Oryzias latipes: one gene and its partners. The protein of the gene in region 1 interacts with the protein of each later gene in a biochemical or structural test. Links are inferred from orthologs where the notes say so. Each region holds a gene or a part of one and is shown in the gene's direction. Other genes may lie near its edges.

Region 1 (3,744 bases):
AGGCGTTTGGCTGCCCTGCAGAAACGCAGGGAGCTGAGAGCAGCAGGAATTGCTGTTGCGAGGAAGAGGAAGAAGAAGCGAGGAGTGGACTACAATGCTGAAATCCCGTTTGAAAAGAAGCCCGCTCCGGTACTGTCAGATGAGCTCCAGCTCCCATCAACAACCCATGAACCCACAACAGCAGAGCACAACCTGAAGCTGTGTGCTTGATGTGTTTGAAGGGTTTCTATGACACCAGCATGGAAAATTACGAAGCGCTGGAGCCCAACTTCAAACGGCTGCGACAGCAGCACCTGGATGGAGAACTACGCAAGTCAGTCCCACCTGCACGGTTTGATGCACTGCAAGGCATGAGCCAAAAACACTCAACCTGTGCTGTTTTGATGCAGTGAGCGTGAAGAGAGGGACCGGAAGAAAGACAAACAGAAAATAAAGAAGAAGAAGGAGAGCGACCTGCCATCTGCCATCCTTCAGACCAGCGGCGTGGCAGAGTTCACCAAGAAACGCTCCAAGCTAGTGCTACCTGCACCTCAGGTACCACACTGACCTGCTCACACACACACACACACACACAGACACACACCCTGACTAGACTCCCCTCTTGTAGATCAGTGATGCTGAGCTGGAGGAAGTGGTCAAACTGGGTGTGGCCAGTGAAGTGGCACGCCAGGCTGCCGAGGAGAGTGAAAGTGGAAACTCCGCCTCCTCCGCCCTTTTGTCAGAGTACAACATCACAAACAACATGGCTGCCGGACTGCGGACCCCTCGCACCCCTGCGGCTCAGGACAGGATAATGCAGGTATCTGAAGAAGGCAGAGGTTTTGCCTTGTTTGTGTCATAATCTGAGGTGATTTCTGTTTGATTTGGGGGTGGGGGTTCTGGATGTTCTCTGGTTCTGAAGAACCAGGCCCAGATATGCTGCATTTAGCTTCTTAATGATTGGACTGATTGCTCTGTGGAACAGTGGCTTTCTCTGTTGAAATGTTTATGCAGGGTTCTCTTTGGCGTGGCTCCTCCCACTATCGTCATGGCGTTGGGTTGTGTTTGCATTTCTCAGTTTGCTTTCATGACAACACGGTACAAACAGCAGGGGGAGCATTGACACCACAAAACCCCCTCTGTGGGGGTTATCCTGTGCCAGAGGTGCAATCTTTAACTTGCTGGTGGCTCCCGTCTGTGAGATGAGTCAAAGTCAGCTTATTGGTCAATATGCTGCACACACGTGATAAACAGCACAGAGGAGATTTCTTTCTCTCAGCCCACAGTGAGAGCAGCCTATAAAAATAACAATAAGGATAAAAACAGCAAGTTCATCTTTCCCGGTTTACCTCGTTCTTTTAGAGCGATCATGCTGCTTTCTTTAAACAGCGCACCCCGTTCTGTGTCCTGATTGGCTGGAGACCCTGTCAATCAATCTCCTCCGTGCCGTGTCTCCTGAACAGAAACGCAGAGCTCTTCAGATCAGAAATCTGTGATCGATCAGATCATTGTTTTCCTTTATAAGATCCTGGATCTAATTTCTATGAAGGTTTGAGAAATTAAACAAAAGACAAGGTGAAAATGTTCATGTCTGTCTGAGAAAAGTGTGTTTATGCAGTGGGGAGTTTTACTGCCATAAATCATAAACGTCTATAATCATTCTCTGTGGATTTCATAGATCACGGTTTTTTATTATTTATATTTTTAGAATGTAACTCCTGCAATAAATGAGGATTACTGGATGAGAAACAGACGTGCAGGACACAGCTGCTCAGCTTTAGCACAAACTGTGAGACGTGAGGAGCTGCAGCCTCAAAGTCTTTATTAGAATAATGACGGGAGAAGATCCACTATTTATTGTTGTTTTTGTGTTTTTTTTAAGATCAGTTATTTATTTTGTTAAAAGGATCATGAATGAATGAAACTTTATTCATTCAGCACTTTATAACTCCTTGAAGGTACCAAAGAGCTTCACAAAAAAAAAGGTCTAAAATGGGAACAAAAGTTTTAAACTAAAAACTGTAGAATATTCTGCTTTAGAATATCATTTTCCTTTCAAATTATTTCATCTACATTCCATGTTATTTCATTCTCACTCCACACATCTGCTCCTGGTCCGGCCCTTCTATTGAATTTTAGAACCCAATGTGGCCCCCCAGTTAAAATAATTGCCCCCCCCCCCCCCCCCCACACACACACACACACTTGCTGCAGTGACGGTATATTAGGTTAGTATCTATAAAAATTGTCTAAGTATACCTAAAATTGTATTTTTTAACATTAACAAAAGAAAACAGCAATGTAAATCCATTTTCAACAAATATTATATTTCTTTAGCCACAGAAACTCTGTTAGTCTAAAACAGAAAAGAAGCTTAAAGAGCCTGAAATAAAAAATCTGTCAGTTATTATTTAAACTAGAAACATTTTGATCAACTGAACCATTTGATGCTGAGAAAAAGAATTCAATCAATAATATTAAATGTAAATTGATCTGAAACATTAACACAGCAGCACCAATAGATTTAATGTTTTTAGTCTGAGGAAATAGATAAAAACATTGTTCTGATTTTATTTCTAAATGATGGATAATTTATGATCTGTGACGCTGTTTTCCTGCATTACCTGCTGTCTGCATGTCAAATACTGACACCAACTAAACAACAGGCAGACAAAGAAAACATTGATGGAAAATAAAAACACGTCATCATAATGTCTACAATAGTTCATAAAGAATGACATTATTAGCATGAGCTAAAGGCACGTGATGATCCTTGTGTTGGGCAATAGAGGCAGCTCTCTGTGTGCTGTGTTCCACTTGCAGCCTGAGCCCACTACCCCTCCCCTCTCCTTCTCACACACGCGTGTGACAGGAGACATGAGCAGCTGCAGGGACGGCAGTTCACAGTTTCAGGCTGTTACAAACTCTGATAGAACAGATCAGGAAACCAACAGTGACACAGATTTTTTTTTCAAGCACTGAGCTGCTGTCACCACCGCCCCCCGTTAAATTTGCGCCCCGGACAATTGCCCATATTACCTGTGCCTAAAACCACTACTACTGCGCGCCCCCCCTGGCACCTTAAGAAGCACTGTGTTAGAGTAACAAGCAACCATATGTTGTCTATGCAACTGTAATTGTCCCTTTAAAAAGTAATAATAAATCAATGAATAAATGAGTTATTTAACATTGAGGAGTAGTTACATTTATTTTTCATTACATTTAGTTACATGTAGAAGTTATATCGGGCCCTTTGAGGACAACCACTATGCTGATGTGGCCCTCAGTGAAAATGAGTCGGACACCCCTGGTTTAAAGTGACAACAGTGCTAAGAAACAGACTGAAGTGTCTCTGGGATGGAGGTGAGGGGTCACCTTCAATCCTGATGGCTTTGCGGGTGGTAAATGTCCGAGAGGCCGGTGAGGGGGACACCGAGGATCTTCTCAGCTGTTCCCACGATGTGCTGCAGGGACTTCCGGCAGCCAACAGCGATGCTGTTGGTGATGAACCTGTCTGTACCACAGAGCCGTGTGAAACACATGTTCCTAAATCTGCCTTAGGAAGCCCAGAACCTGATGGCTCTGACCAACATTGACACCCCTCTGAAGGGGGGGCTCAACACGCCTCTGCACGAAAGCGACTTCAGCGGAGTGACGCCCCAGCGGCAGCAGATCCAGACGCCCAACACGGTCCTCAGCACGCCGTTCAGGTAACACGGGGTCAGCTGCACACCCTGTTCAAAATGCAGGATCGGCTTTTGTGTG
Region 2 (4,493 bases), on another chromosome or scaffold:
AACCCAATCTCTTTCAGATGCTCTGAAATAGACTGTTTTTGCGTGCATGTACTATAAGCATGTGATAAAAGTGTTTAGTGTGCAATATAGACAGTATTTCAGAGTGCAATGTTGTGGAATACATACACATCTGACTGAGACTATGTTGCTGTTTTAATTTCTATACGTCTTAGATATATTTTTTTTTACTCCCAAGTAGGCCTGCACAATATACCGCAAATTTATCGTTATCGCAACATCAAGCTGTGCAATATGCATACTGCAAAAGATGGCGATAATCGCAATAAACGGTTACCTTAAATGTGCTAAAACAAACTCATGGCAGCTTGAAATATTGAACAAATGAAATAAATCCCTTTATGCATTTGACCAATCGGAAGGACCCGTTTACATTGTTGACCAATCAGATGAGCCCTTGATGTTTGCCTCCTATGTCGACGAGGGTCATTTGGAGTATAATTTTTAAACTGTTGCAGTGAAATGGGATTGATGTTTTTGGTTGTTTTGCTATTTGTTTATATACCGCAAATGATATCGTTATCGCAATAGTAATCACCAACATCGCATATCGCGAGTTTTTCTCATATCGTGCAGCCCGACTCCCAAGTGCCTTTTCTTTTGTGTGGTCAGGCCACCAGTTTAAGCATTAAGGGATGTTATTGTGTGAAATTGTTTAAACTAGGGACTGTGCTCATATAATTTACCACGAATACAATTTTAAAAGATGACAAAAGGGAAAATCGTATTTATTTGTTTGTTTGCATTTTTTAAACACATCTTTGAACACAACGAAAGCTGTGCACAAAGTTAACTCATCTCTGGTGAATATCATAACTTTAGAAAATTCCGTGACACTATATGGAATGAGTAATATTTAGACTGAGGCCTAAAAGAAAAAAGACCAAATTTAATAAAAATCCATACTCACTTGTATGAAGTTATAAATCCTTTTTTTTATTTTTTAGATCTATCTGAATGTTCAAAATTTATACTGGAATATTTTTGTTGTGTTGTTTAAATGATCTAATACTTGATATTTCCTCGATATGCAATAGATAATAGATTCGCTTTTTTCAGTTATTTGCTGATCATTCTGGAAATATTTTGACATTTGAAAATTTTAGTTCTAAATTTCAATTATTTGATCGGAAACAATATGATGCTGTGAACAAAGCTCTTCCTCGGTCGTTGATCCAAGTATCACAAAATCTATTGTTAAACAAAGTTCAATTAAAACTTCCTTCACTCCTATTGGACGGACAGCCAGTTACAAAGACAGAACTAGCAAACAGCTTCATACGAAGATTGTTTGTGAAAGAAGTCTTCCAAACATCTCATCAGAAAAAAAGCATTTCTAAACACTTCTCTAAAGAAGAGGTCATTGATTTAAGGTCGAATTTCTTTACATTTTGTATTTTACCAAAAGTAAAAGACATTCATTTTAAAATAATTAGTGATGTTTACCCATCCAAGGAATTTTTGATACTTCGTTTTGGATTTGAAGAGAATGATTGCAGTTTTTGTTTAAAGGACATTGAGACAGTGGATCATTTATTCTTTAACTGTTTAACAGTTCTGCTTTTGGTATTCTTCCAAAATTCCAATGCCAGTTCATTTAGACGCAAAATGAGATAATGGAGTGTCGCGACATCAGGTTGCCATGACGACAGGCAGCCCTGCTTTACGGCAGGCATGTTTCTGGGTAGCTTGTAGTTAGCCGTGCAGCTAGTCGCACAGCCGCACTTTCCCCTCATTGCGTTCTAAGCAGACTGTGTTTTATTGTGAGAGTTCCCGGCTGGATAAATGGATGTTGGAGAACTTTTAAACTATCAGGTACGAAGATGTGTTTCTTTCTCAGCCTCCGGTCATTCATTCAAGATGTAGCAGCTGAGCTTCAGCTCCTGGCTACAGTTTTGAACTTCAGCTTGAGCTTCTAGTTCTTCTCGCTTTACTCTCTGTCTTTTGTTTTTTTTTTTAGTTAAAATTGTGATTATTGTTTTTATAAGTTTGTACATTATGTTGTTGGCGGAGCAAAATAATAAAGACTGCTCTGCATCTCGGTACACAGTTTTTAGCGCTAAAACTAAATTAGCTTGGTTTACTTCAGTGCTGCTGGCTGCAAATTTTTATTATTAACGATAAAAAAATCATTTAAACATTTGCATTAGGGGTTTATTAAAAGAAATAATATTGGGAGAAAACCAAAAATCCGGACTTGGTGTCAAATGTTTTTGGCTGCTGGATGGATGACGTTTCACTCAGTCATTCCCTAAAAGTTCTTAGAAATAATCTGTCATGTCATCCTTTAATATAAATGTGATTATTTTATGTAATAAAGTTCAAAAATCTTACTCCTGTGCTGTGTTTTTCATTTGCGTTTTGAAAAAGTACCAACAAGTTCCTATCATTAATGCTGAAAGCTGCTATGGCTGTTATCTTGTTATGGATTTTTACCTATTTCCTAATAATAATCATTACTCAGATGCCCTATTAAGCTCATTCTTCTTACTGTTTAAACAATTTAAGTAATATTAATTTACAGGTGAAGTAATCACATCATTTAAATTGTACTGGACTTTATTGACTTATTTTGCTGCAGCTTTTCCGAACAATTGTTTTCATACATTGGACATTCATCATTGCCTGTTCACCTGATATTTCTTCATCACGTTCAGTCGCTGTGCTCCTTATTGCATGTCACTGGTTTTCCACTCTTAGCCCGATAGAGGAGCAAAACGTCCCAGGGAGCAAGAAGGAAGAGCAGCAGGAGGAGACGATGATTCCAGAGGAGGGAAGCAGCAGAAGGGACTGGGATCCCGGGACCCGGCCAGACATCGGGAAGCTGGAGCGGGATCAGAGGGTCGTGCTGAACCGGGGGACGGCGAAGAGCAGACCGGGGACAAGAAGAGGATACTGGAAAAACTGATGGACCAGGATGAAGAAGAACCCGAGGTGGGAAAGCTGTTTTTATTTACTGGTCGTTTTTTTTCTTTCTTCCAAAAGGCTGTGTCTGTAGTTCAGACTTCTTCCTTTTTTTATCACAGAGACCATTTGATTCCTCTTTAGGTGGAAAAATGCTGTTTTGTTTGTAATTTAAAGCGAGTTATGCAGAGCTGCCTCTTTAGAGAGTGCAGGAATGATGCAGAAGTGATGAACATTTGCAATACGGCATACATTTGGAGGAGCTTAATGCTTTTGGTTCTTTTGCACTACTGTCTAAGCATAGATGAATAGTTGTGTCGTTGCCACGACTACTCAACTTCTGCTAACAACCACATGGTAAGAATTGGACAAAATGAGGGAAGGAAGTGACTGAGAAGAACTAATAAGTGTTAGAAGGTTCTTTCTCCTTATTTAAATGTTCATTGTGTCCATTTTTCAAGGTGCGAGGTGAAAACAATTATCAAAAACAAAAACGCATGTGTGCGAATGTAACCATCCTTTTGGTATTGATAACAGATAAAAATGAAGAGAGACCACGGTGATGAGTAAATGTTGGTAAACGTACCTGTTTTTTTTTTTTTTTTTTGTGGCATTAAAAGCCAGAAGGCGAAGCTCTTAAGTTAGGCCACGGTGGAAAATGCAGCTGCGTCAGAATTTCCAAAGGAGTAACACTAGAACCAGTGTTACCATATTGCAGTGCATTTGAAGACTGCACATTGATAATTCAGTTCATATTATCCCCACACTGCAGGCATTTTCAAAAATTTACTCTGTCAAGGGCCTCTCAGAGCTAATGGCTCCTCTTCTCCATAATGTCAGGCAGTTGAAATGTCCTAACCGGTCATTATCCGTCTAGCACTTTACAGCTTTTAAGCCTTCAGGAGGTCAAACGCATCCCCTTTTTCTGTAAAATGTACCCTAATTGATGCAAAAAAATGACTCCACTCACACGTTTAATGTCGCAGTGATGGCTCTTTGCTCCGGCAGCAGCTGCTTCGACCTAAAAAGCTTTTGCCCCCTTTTTCCTCCTCTATTTTCTTCACCACTGCCATGTCCTCTGATGTTCCACGGATCAAACAGGCCGAGCCGGTGGATGAAAGCACAGTGAAGAAAATGATCCTGACCTTTGAGAAAAGGTCATACAAAAACCAGGAACTGAGGATCAAGTTTCCTGACAATCCTGAGAAGTAAACATGCTTTTCCTTTATTATTTTTTACATCAAAGATTTTGTTTAAATGTTCTTTTTTTGGAAAACTATTAACTTTGTTTCCGAACCAGGTTCATGGAGTCGGAGCTGGATCTCAACGACATCATCCAGGAAATGCACGTGATCGCCACCATGCCGGATCTCTACCACCTGCTGGTGGAGCTCAATGCCGTCCACTCCCTGTTGGGCCTTCTAAGCCATGAAAACACAGATATCCTTCACATGGATTTTGACCTGCAAACTGGTTTATCTGGGGGCTGGAGCTCTATATAAAACATAATGCATCAGCGATTTTGGATTTGTTAGCTCTGATTAGAAAAACTCTAGAAAACCTGTTGTAGC
Region 3 (4,621 bases), on another chromosome or scaffold:
ATCACGGTGTCACTGTGTTGTTGACCATTGTGGAGATTTTTGCCAAAAAGAATTTTCGGTTTCTTCAATGTTGTTTTGACCACTAAATACATGTATTTTCCTTACCAAGTCTTGTTTTTTTTTATTCTTTGAAAAGTCATCAGTTCTTTAAGTCCTTAAGGCTAAATTCAGGCTTAAACTTTTTTAAATTTTTGAGATCAAGCTGCAGGGAAAACAGGGGCCAGTCAGTGGAAGAGTTATGCCAACGAATATTCAGTTTGACACCAAAAAGAGTCAAATCAAGAGGCCCTATGAACACAGAACGCTTAAAGTTCCACTCTGATCGTCTTTTGATCTATTAGAAAAGCGTTCCCTGTGCTTTTTAATTGTGCCACTTTTTGGCACAAATTGAAAAACGTATCGTTTTCTAAGACATAGTTTCTGCAGTGCAACAGTAAGTCATTAGAAAATCACCTCTGAGTTGTGGGCAGGACTGTTGGTGTGGAGCAATCCTGCCCCCCTTCCCCAAAGCACAGAGCAGGAAGCTTCTGACCCACCTAGGGTATTTTCTGCATATCAAATGCAACCTTTTTCAAACAGTATTTTTTTATCTGCTCCTGATTTACATTTGAATAAAGAAATACTCCGAAATGCAATTTGCAGCTAAATTTTCTTTATAAATGTCCTCCATCATGAGAAAAATGGCTGAAGAACATGTTAAAAACACAGAAAACACAATTTTCAGGTCTTTGATGAAAATCAACTGTGCTGTGAACCACTGAAATCAAAGGCAGGAGGTAGAAAATGAAATTACAAGCATAGATAAGGACAGCAAGAACTGAAGAAAAACCTGAAAATGTATCTTCAGAGCACTAATAATACATTGACAACCAAGAAATAACTGGAATCCAATTATATAAGATTAGATGATTGTACTATTTTCAGGCTGCTTTGGTTGTTGCAGGAATTTATCCAAATCAAATTTTCCTTTGAAATATTTACTGTAAATTATTTCATCTCTTAATAAATGAGTTCATTGCTTTTTTTGTGAAACCTTTTTATTAAAACAATATTTAATAAATAATAAAATTGGTTTAAAAGGGAAATTTAACAGCAAAAGATTAATAAACTAAAACAAATCAAACCAACTTGTGGATAAAATCAACAATTGTGAACTTCTAAATAGAGCAGACTCAGTAGTGTCCAGCCTACATGTATGAGAGGCTGGAAGAATGGTCATTAGCAAAGGGGAATAAGTAATTCCCAGACACTAGTTCTTTTTCACATCAAAAACAAAATGTTTTATTTTTTATTATTATTTTTTTATATGAACCCTTAATTTATTTCTGCACCAAATGTGTAAACGGCACAGAACTGTTTAAATTTGCCTTTTTACTGAATAATTAAAAAAAATGTTGAAACCCCCTAAAATATGTATATGTATTTCAAAACGTCCCGGAGAAATTGCGAAAAATGGGGGCTTGATAATAGAAAAACATAATCTCCGCCACTGTGAGACGCTGGGATGAGACGTACCGCCAGAGGGCGCTCATAAAATAAATCTTTTAGCCTTTCAGGCTGTTGTACTTCCGGGTCATGCAGACTCGTTTGTCGCGGCGGTGGACTGTTTTTGTCGCTTTGCTACACCTACGGTGTTCGTGGATTATATTCACCGAAAACTACTTAACTGCAGTGTGATATCAATCTTTATTATCGCCACAATGACCGAGGTGAGACTTTATTTGAGTTATTTGATTTTCTTTGGTCCACGCTTTAGACTCACACAGCACTGGACCCGTCTAACTACTGGATGTTAACGTTCTGAATCTTCACACGTTGTAGTGTATCCCCCCTGATAAATCACATGGACTCGTCTTTCAAGTAAACTTTTTTTTCCTTCTAATTGTTACAGGAAGTCCAGAAACACTCAGTCCACACTTTGGTCTTCAGATCCTTGAAAAGGACTCATGACATGTTCGTGGCTGACCATGCTAAAGCCGTCGCTTTAGATGATGAAAGGTATACTGAGCTTTTACATTTATGACTTCTGTATTTAAAATGTGTATCATCACTTTAGTTAAAACTCACGGTCATGCTAATCGTGCGTTCATAATATGTTTATTAGTTTATTATGCAATAGTTCACATCAAAAGGGTTACTTTAACCTTTTAGGCATGCATTGGGAGAAAATATATTTTTTCATGTTTTGATTATAAACATCTTTGGCACTTGGAGATGGTTTGTCTATATGTTTCCACTTCACGTGGGCACACGGGTGGGTTTGCGTTGAAGCTCCTCTTTTTTTTTTTCGTTTTAAGCCACAAGTTGAAGTTGGCCGTGAAGCTAAAGGCAGACTACAGTCCTGTGTTACACATGCCAGTGCTAAAAGAAGGAAAGGACAGGATGTCACAGTATCCAGACGGTCTCCACGACAACGAAGCTTACATGCAGCCGGGTGAGTGGGAAGCATCACCGTTCAGTGTTTTTGGTTTTAAATTGTAAAAATCTGACTTTTTTTTCTTGTTTGTCTTTGGTTTCCGACAACTTCAGCAGATGATCCTGAATATCTGATCACGGGAACGCACGCTTATCCCTCTGGACCTGGTAAATACTTTCCTTTTAGCCAAGCTTAAAGGAACTTTATTCATTTTTTTAGCCAGCTTTTTATTATCTATGTCTTTAACCCAACAGGAGTCGCCCTGACAGCTGACACAAAAGTGCACAGAAACCCCAGTGAGTCAGGAATCCACTCCTTGGCTCTGGCTTTACCACCATCACAAGCAAGGTAATCCTGTTCAGTCAATCAATACAAATAGTACTGAATCAACTTTTCGGGATTCATTGATATATCTATTTTTTGTCTTCTGATGGCTGTTTTAGACAAGAGTCCAGCCGCACTGCAGCCACAGTTGCAGAGATCCGTCGTGGAGCAGAAAGAGCTCACGCTCAGTCCACCGCTCTGGTACATCACAAGCTTCTTAAGCGCTTTTTTTTCTCACCCAGTCTTGGTTGACAAAATTCTAACGCAACAATCTGTTCGTTGCAGCTGCTCTTGGAAGGAGGCGGCACCAGAAATTCCAACCTCTTGAGGAGAACGCCGGTCATGCCCAAACCGCAGTGGCATCCTCCCTGGAAACTCTTTAGAGTAACTGCAAATTATCCTTGAACTCCTTTTCAGTTGTGTCAAATCCGGTGACGGAGGGGAAGCAACATCTCACGTGATTACTAAAAAGGTTTTTGTCACCTGACAGGTCATCAGCGGCCACCTGGGCTGGGTCAGGTCCATCGCTGTGGAGCCTGGAAATCAGTGGTTTGTGACAGGATCTGCAGATAGAACAATAAAGGTTATCTCTTCTCTATTTTTTATTTTATTTATACAATACGTTGTTCTGATTGTTTTTATACTGTTTTTACACTACAAAGCTTTTTTTCTTCTCCTTTTTGCATTTGTTGAGGTGGAACAGCAAAAAAAAAAAGAACCAGGAGTGTTTTGTTACAGGGAAAGGATATCATGAGACTTGCTTTTTCCTTCAGATCTGGGACCTGGCCAGTGGGAAGCTGAAACTGTCTCTGACTGGACACATCAGTACAGTGCGTGGAGTGGCGGTGAGCAGCCGCAGTCCGTACCTTTTCTCCTGCGGAGAGGATAAGCAAGTCAAATGCTGGGATCTAGAGTACAACAAGGTACAAGCTTCTCTTCACAATATCTCTAAAAAAAAACATTTTAGGGCTGTTTGAATATAAACAAAGACAAAAAGTTCAGTCATTTCTTTCTTTTTCTTCATACGTCAGAGTTTTGGTGTTTTAGTGACATGAGTATTTTGTGTTTTAGGTAATCCGGCACTATCATGGCCACCTCAGTGCTGTGTATGATTTGGACCTTCATCCAACTATTGATGTCTTGATGACGTGCAGCAGAGATGCCACAGCGAGGGTAAGATCGGAATCCACTCATTACTCTTTATATATGTCACACATGGAAGAAAAATCCTACATGACAGACAAGAAGTGACAAAGCTCAGATCTTTAAATAAATAAATACAGATGTATTAAAAATAATCCTGCTCAAATGTCTAGAGCTGCAGAAAAAAATTGTTTTTGTTTTATCATAGGAACCATAGTTGGGGTTTTTGGAGAAAGCAAAACACTTTTGAGTTCTTTTGTGTATGAACAAATGTAAACGCCCCTGTAAACAAAAGTTCAATTTAAGGACACTGATCCAAAAAAGAAAAACATTCCTCGTTTATCCAAAATACACCATGAGGGTCTGAAATCGTGGCAAAAACAAGGAAGTCAGACTATAATTGTTAGAATTAGGAATTCTACAATTAGTCCCTGGAAAGGAAATTTCTTTTTTTTAATGCCAATATTTTTAAAGAATGATATTTGCTGTGCATTTATCGAAAATGCAACTTTTTTGTTTCATTCTGAAGCTGCAGATTCATCTGGCATCAATTTAAAGCACTTTAATTGTCTTAGTTTATTCAAATATTATAGTGAAAAATCTGCCCTGCTACTCGAAGGCTGTATGGGAGAGTAGAGAAAGAAAAAACTGGACATTTACTGACACAGATAAGAAATTATAGAATCTTTTTTAGATGAGAGCGGATCAGAAAGTGTGGTATTTAGTTCAGATAGTCAT
Region 4 (4,641 bases), on another chromosome or scaffold:
CCTCTGACACCAACAAAGTGCTCACAGGTAAAGTGTCATTATTTTAATGTTGATTTAGTTTTAGGTGATTTTGTGTGCTTTTGTTTTGACTTTATGAAAACTGGCTGTTTAAGGTGCAGCGTTGTGAGTTTCACTCTTGTGCTGCTGCTTCTCCCTGACTGAAGCCTTTTTTCAGCACAGCACCCAGGAGAGACTTGAATTCAAAAGCTGAAAGGTGCAAGTGGAGCATCAGTGCTTTGTTTATAACAGGAGTTGCATTTTAAAAAATAACCCACAATATGTGAGATCTACAAAGTACTGGTATTCTTTTTTTTTTTTTTTTTTATGGGGGTGCCCACATTTTCTTTTTGGCAGGCAAGCTACTTTTGAGACGACAAGCTCCAAAAGAATTACCTACAGTATTTTGAGCTGAGAACCAGTGCAGTATTTTGTCTAAAATACTGTTTATGTACTAAAAATTCAAAAGCTACAGAGTAAGAGTATGCACATCTTTGTAAGGAGAAAGCCTTGTTGTGTGTATTAATATTATTTTTGTAGTAATACATAATTTGGAACACATAAGGCGTTCTGTTGTGAAAACAAAAAGCAGTGACTATTGCCCTCTATGTTCTGCTGTAAACCGTGTTGGAGAAGGTAGGACATTTGAAAAGCGCGGCAGGCTTAACCATGATTGAGCGAACAGCGGCCACTGGCCCGTGGACAGAGCTCCAGAAGCACATGCTTCACGACGACACTGCTGGCTTAGTGGGCTCAGATCCCCCGACCGGGCACAGGCGCCAAGACAGGACGGCTGGGTCAGACGGGGGGTCTCGGTCTCGCTCCAGGAGGCATGCTGGGCGACCCAGGCCTCACTAAACAGTCCGCGCACAGCGAGGCCGCTAGTGGCTCTCCAAACGCAGAAAGAATGTGCCGTACACACACGCATGTGCTGTATAAACGTATGGATGAGAGGATGTTTTTTTGACCGATCTACATGTCAATCAAATCATGCACTTCTCGGTGAGGAAGATGATTGACAGATTAAAAAAAAAAGTATATATATGTTTTTTGGATTATTTCTCTTTGATGGCTGGAGATCTACCCACATGTCCTTCAACATAATGAGCACTCCAGTTCTAGATGTTTTACGGCAGTAAATCCCTCACTTTCCTCAGACAGACATTCACATTTTCATACTTTTCTCTCTTGTTTTAACTCTCAAAGTTCAAACATCCATTGGGGAAAAAAAGTTCACTATAATAAATGAAAACAAAGGTTTATGTGAATTTGACAATCTGAACAAATTCTGTTGAGAAACGACACAGAAGAGATTGATTCACAAGTTCCCCAGCCAATCAGGACACAATGTGCTGTAAAAAAATAAAATTATACTCTTAAAATCTGCTGCTTAAATCTCCTCAACAGTTGAATAAATGTAGTGGTGGTGTTCTATGCAAAAAAGAGTTGATGTGCCTTTAACTCTGTTTGTTTAGGTGGAGCTGATAAGAACGTTGTTGTGTTTGACAAGAGTGAAGAGCAGATTGTGGCGACACTTAAAGGTCACACTAAGAAAGTGACCTCTGTCATTTACCACCCATCTCAGGTAAGTCTTCTGTTTCTTCTACTTACCTCTGTGAGCTAAAATGTCCTTTCATATCTTAATGGGAGGACTTTTCCGCTGCTTTCTGACCTGTCTAGTCTGTGGTCTTCTCGGCCTCTCCTGACACCACCATCCGCGTGTGGTCCGTCACCGGAGGGAACTGTGTGCAGGTGGTGCGAGCCCACGAGGCGGGCGTGACAGGTCTGTCTCTGCACGCCACTGGAGATTATCTGCTCAGCTCCTCTGAGGATCAGGTCTGTGTAGAGCCTCAACCCCAACATTGTGCTATCAAATGACAAAAATTGTGTTCCTCCGTTTAACAACATTGTGGGTTTTTTTTTTTTTTGCAGTACTGGGCCTTTTCTGATATCCAGACTGGTAAAGTCCTCACCAAAGTTACTGATGAAAGTGCTGGCTGTGGTAAGCGCCTTCTGAGTCCCTCTACCATCAGACTGCTGCTTGGACTCATCCTCCACATTTTGCCAATGTTTCCTTTTGGGTTCCACAGCTCTCACGTGTGCTCAGTTCCACCCCGACGGTCTGATCTTTGGAACTGGCACTGCTGATTCTCAGATCAAGATCTGGGATCTAAAGGAGAGAACCAATGTGGCCAACTTCCCCGGCCACTCTGGACCTGTGACCTCCATCGCCTTCTCTGAGAACGGATACTATCTGGCTACAGGTGAGGCACAAATGAAACCCTCCTCCTCCACACAGCACACGTGTACATTTTGATGAGTACACCATCGAGCTGTAATGATTCATGTTTTAAGCTTTTGAATATTAGAGATTGCTTCAATGTGACGGCAGTCTATATTCTGATTGCGTTTGTGTTGTGCAGTTGATTAGCAGAAGACTTTATGGGGATTTGTTGCCATGTTTTAATCTCCTGCATGCTTTTTTTTTACTGTAGGGGCTCAGGACAGCTCTCTGAAACTCTGGGATCTGAGGAAGTTGAAGAACTTTAAGACCATCACCCTGGACAACAACTACGAGGTACGAGGTTTCTCTCACACAATAACAGCAGTTAAAGGAGGAACGGCAGTTATTAGGATTATTTTTCTTCTGCATCCTGAAATTAGAAGTATTTGTGTTTACATACTCACCAATATTTCCAAAATGTCAACTTTAATGTATAACTTTTCAGCTTGTAAACTATTTCTAACTTGAGGACTGTATAATATACTGTATATATTAGGATGGTTTCGGGATAAATTCAAACTTTATTTTTAAAGCTATTTTTACTTTGTTGCTAACAGGATAAAAATATTTTTCTAACTTAAAAAAACAAAGCAAACCTACACATTTACCGAAAAAAAGTAGGAATTAAGACACAATGCCTCTAATCCCCGCCCCTCCCCCCACACATTCAGCGTGGAGAAACCATAAATGACCATTAAATAGAAATATAAACAAACATCTGGCTTGATGTTAAAGTGAGGAAATGTATTATACCCTGTTTTTTTTATTTTATTTGCATAGGGAGCTCATGAGCTGCATCTTTTTCCTGTTTGTGTTTCAGGTCAAGTCCCTTGTGTTTGATCAGAGCGGTACCTACCTGGCCGTTGCAGGAACTGACATTCGTGTCTACATCTGCAAACAGTGGTCTGAAGTACTCAACTTTACAGGTGAGGGGTGAAGAAGCAGTTACTTAATCAAAATATTTAGCTGCTTTTTGTTCTTGAAATGACTTTTTTCCTTGAGAAAGGAATACATCATTTATGTGTTTGTTTTCACTAATAGACCACACTGGACTGGTGACTGGGGTGGCCTTTGGAGAACATGCCAAGTTCCTGACATCCGCAGGAATGGACAGAAGTCTCCGATTTTACAGTTTGTAGAGGATTTACGTTGCCAGCTGAGGGGGGGATGATGATGGTGTGATCTGCGTGTCTGAGCTGATTCTGTCCTGGAAATAGTCATTTTTAGAAATAAGGCAACTTTTTTTTAGTGTGTTAGTTCACATGTTTGGAAGAGATTATATGAAACCATCTTCCATTAATACCACAGCCGCATAATAAGAACATGCTTATTGACTTTGATGGTTTAAAAAAAAAGTACATTTTGTTTTGCTGGAACAAAAGCTTAAACTATTCCTGTTGTCAGTGCCAGCTGTTTTATTTGATTACACATTTTTCTTTTTTAATTAACTTGTCAGAAGAGGGGGTTTTATAGCATATTGTACAACTTCACATTGTAATTTGTCAAAAATGAATTGATAACCTACTTAGCTTTATGCACAGCTTCAATGAGGTAAAACATCCTGAAAAAGAGGAAGACTTTGTTTTTTTTTTGTTTATTTTGCCATCCAAAGTTTCATTCTCATTTTATTTGTTCAGTTTAAACCTTTTTCCTGTATTGCTCATTAAACAGCATTGTACTTGTTGCAGCTCTGCCTTTGATAAAATAAAAATATTTTTTTTTCAAATGAATTAATTTGTTGGCTTTACTTAAAAATGTGGAGAAATACCATAAATAATGTGTTGGACACAAATTGCACGTTAGTGAGAAATATTTTGCGTCTTTCCTACAATTCATTTTCTAGCAAGATTGTTTTTGTATAAAGAAATTCAGTAATAAACTTAGAATTGCATAACTAAAGACGGTGCAGAAAATTAAGTGGGGAGATTTTTTTTATATATGTGAATAATAAAAAGGCAATAATGCTTTGCAAAATTAGATTTCAGTGAAAATCTAGGGACTTGAACTGAAAACATCAGGGGGGTGAAGAATTGAAGAAAAGCCTTTTTCTTTTTTGAACATTCACAAGATCAACATTTGTTTTCTGCTAAGTTCAGGTGGATATTTGTATGAATTTAATATAGCTAAATAAATACTTTCAGTAAGAAAATGTGTAATTGTATAATGTACACATTATGACGTCATCAAGGTGCAGAACATAAGTACTTTAAATGTACTTTCACTTGCTTCACAGAAGTTTCTATCATTCTATGTCTTTATGATTATCTTTTTTACATTTATTTATCAGTTTTGCAGTTTATATTACCAATGTGCGAATATAAATTAAAAATAAAAGAAAATCCAGCAAAACATAAAAAAGG

What was found.
Region 2: the proteins of cdc5l (region 1) and ctnnbl1 form a complex in vitro, tested with the Homo sapiens proteins (3 studies listed by BioGRID and IntAct, with this or other methods). The link is inferred for Oryzias latipes from reciprocal best matches to the Homo sapiens genes CDC5L and CTNNBL1.
Region 3: the proteins of cdc5l (region 1) and plrg1 form a complex in vitro, tested with the Homo sapiens proteins (3 studies listed by BioGRID, with this or other methods). The link is inferred for Oryzias latipes from reciprocal best matches to the Homo sapiens genes CDC5L and PLRG1.
Region 4: the proteins of cdc5l (region 1) and prpf19 form a complex in vitro, tested with the Homo sapiens proteins (2 studies listed by BioGRID, with this or other methods). The link is inferred for Oryzias latipes from reciprocal best matches to the Homo sapiens genes CDC5L and PRPF19.

What each region holds. Positions count from the first base shown.
Region 1 is NC_019873.2:1,350,850-1,354,593, reverse strand, and holds part of cdc5l (cell division cycle 5-like protein), read left to right. Parts: intron 1-2; coding exon 3-129; intron 130-221; coding exon 222-313; intron 314-389; coding exon 390-534; intron 535-607; coding exon 608-799; intron 800-3,540; coding exon 3,541-3,689; intron 3,690-3,744.
Region 2 is NC_019865.2:1,925,547-1,930,039, reverse strand, and holds the start of ctnnbl1 (beta-catenin-like protein 1), read left to right. Parts: upstream 1-1,665; 5' UTR 1,666-1,803; coding exon 1,804-1,833; intron 1,834-2,718; coding exon 2,719-2,952; intron 2,953-4,023; coding exon 4,024-4,130; intron 4,131-4,222; coding exon 4,223-4,362; intron 4,363-4,493. UniProt on the Homo sapiens protein: Component of the PRP19-CDC5L complex that forms an integral part of the spliceosome and is required for activating pre-mRNA splicing.
Region 3 is NC_019859.2:20,800,833-20,805,453, forward strand, and holds the start of plrg1 (pleiotropic regulator 1), read left to right. Parts: upstream 1-1,551; 5' UTR 1,552-1,700; coding exon 1,701-1,709; intron 1,710-1,891; coding exon 1,892-1,998; intron 1,999-2,297; coding exon 2,298-2,434; intron 2,435-2,529; coding exon 2,530-2,583; intron 2,584-2,670; coding exon 2,671-2,764; intron 2,765-2,859; coding exon 2,860-2,941; intron 2,942-3,025; coding exon 3,026-3,124; intron 3,125-3,230; coding exon 3,231-3,323; intron 3,324-3,513; coding exon 3,514-3,663; intron 3,664-3,811; coding exon 3,812-3,913; intron 3,914-4,621. UniProt on the Homo sapiens protein: Involved in pre-mRNA splicing as component of the spliceosome. Component of the PRP19-CDC5L complex that forms an integral part of the spliceosome and is required for activating pre-mRNA splicing.
Region 4 is NC_019868.2:15,893,982-15,898,622, reverse strand, and holds the end of prpf19 (pre-mRNA-processing factor 19), read left to right. Parts: coding exon 1-27; intron 28-1,472; coding exon 1,473-1,582; intron 1,583-1,677; coding exon 1,678-1,833; intron 1,834-1,929; coding exon 1,930-1,999; intron 2,000-2,087; coding exon 2,088-2,261; intron 2,262-2,492; coding exon 2,493-2,575; intron 2,576-3,101; coding exon 3,102-3,207; intron 3,208-3,322; coding exon 3,323-3,420; 3' UTR 3,421-4,011; downstream 4,012-4,641. UniProt on the Homo sapiens protein: Ubiquitin-protein ligase which is a core component of several complexes mainly involved pre-mRNA splicing and DNA repair. Required for pre-mRNA splicing as component of the spliceosome.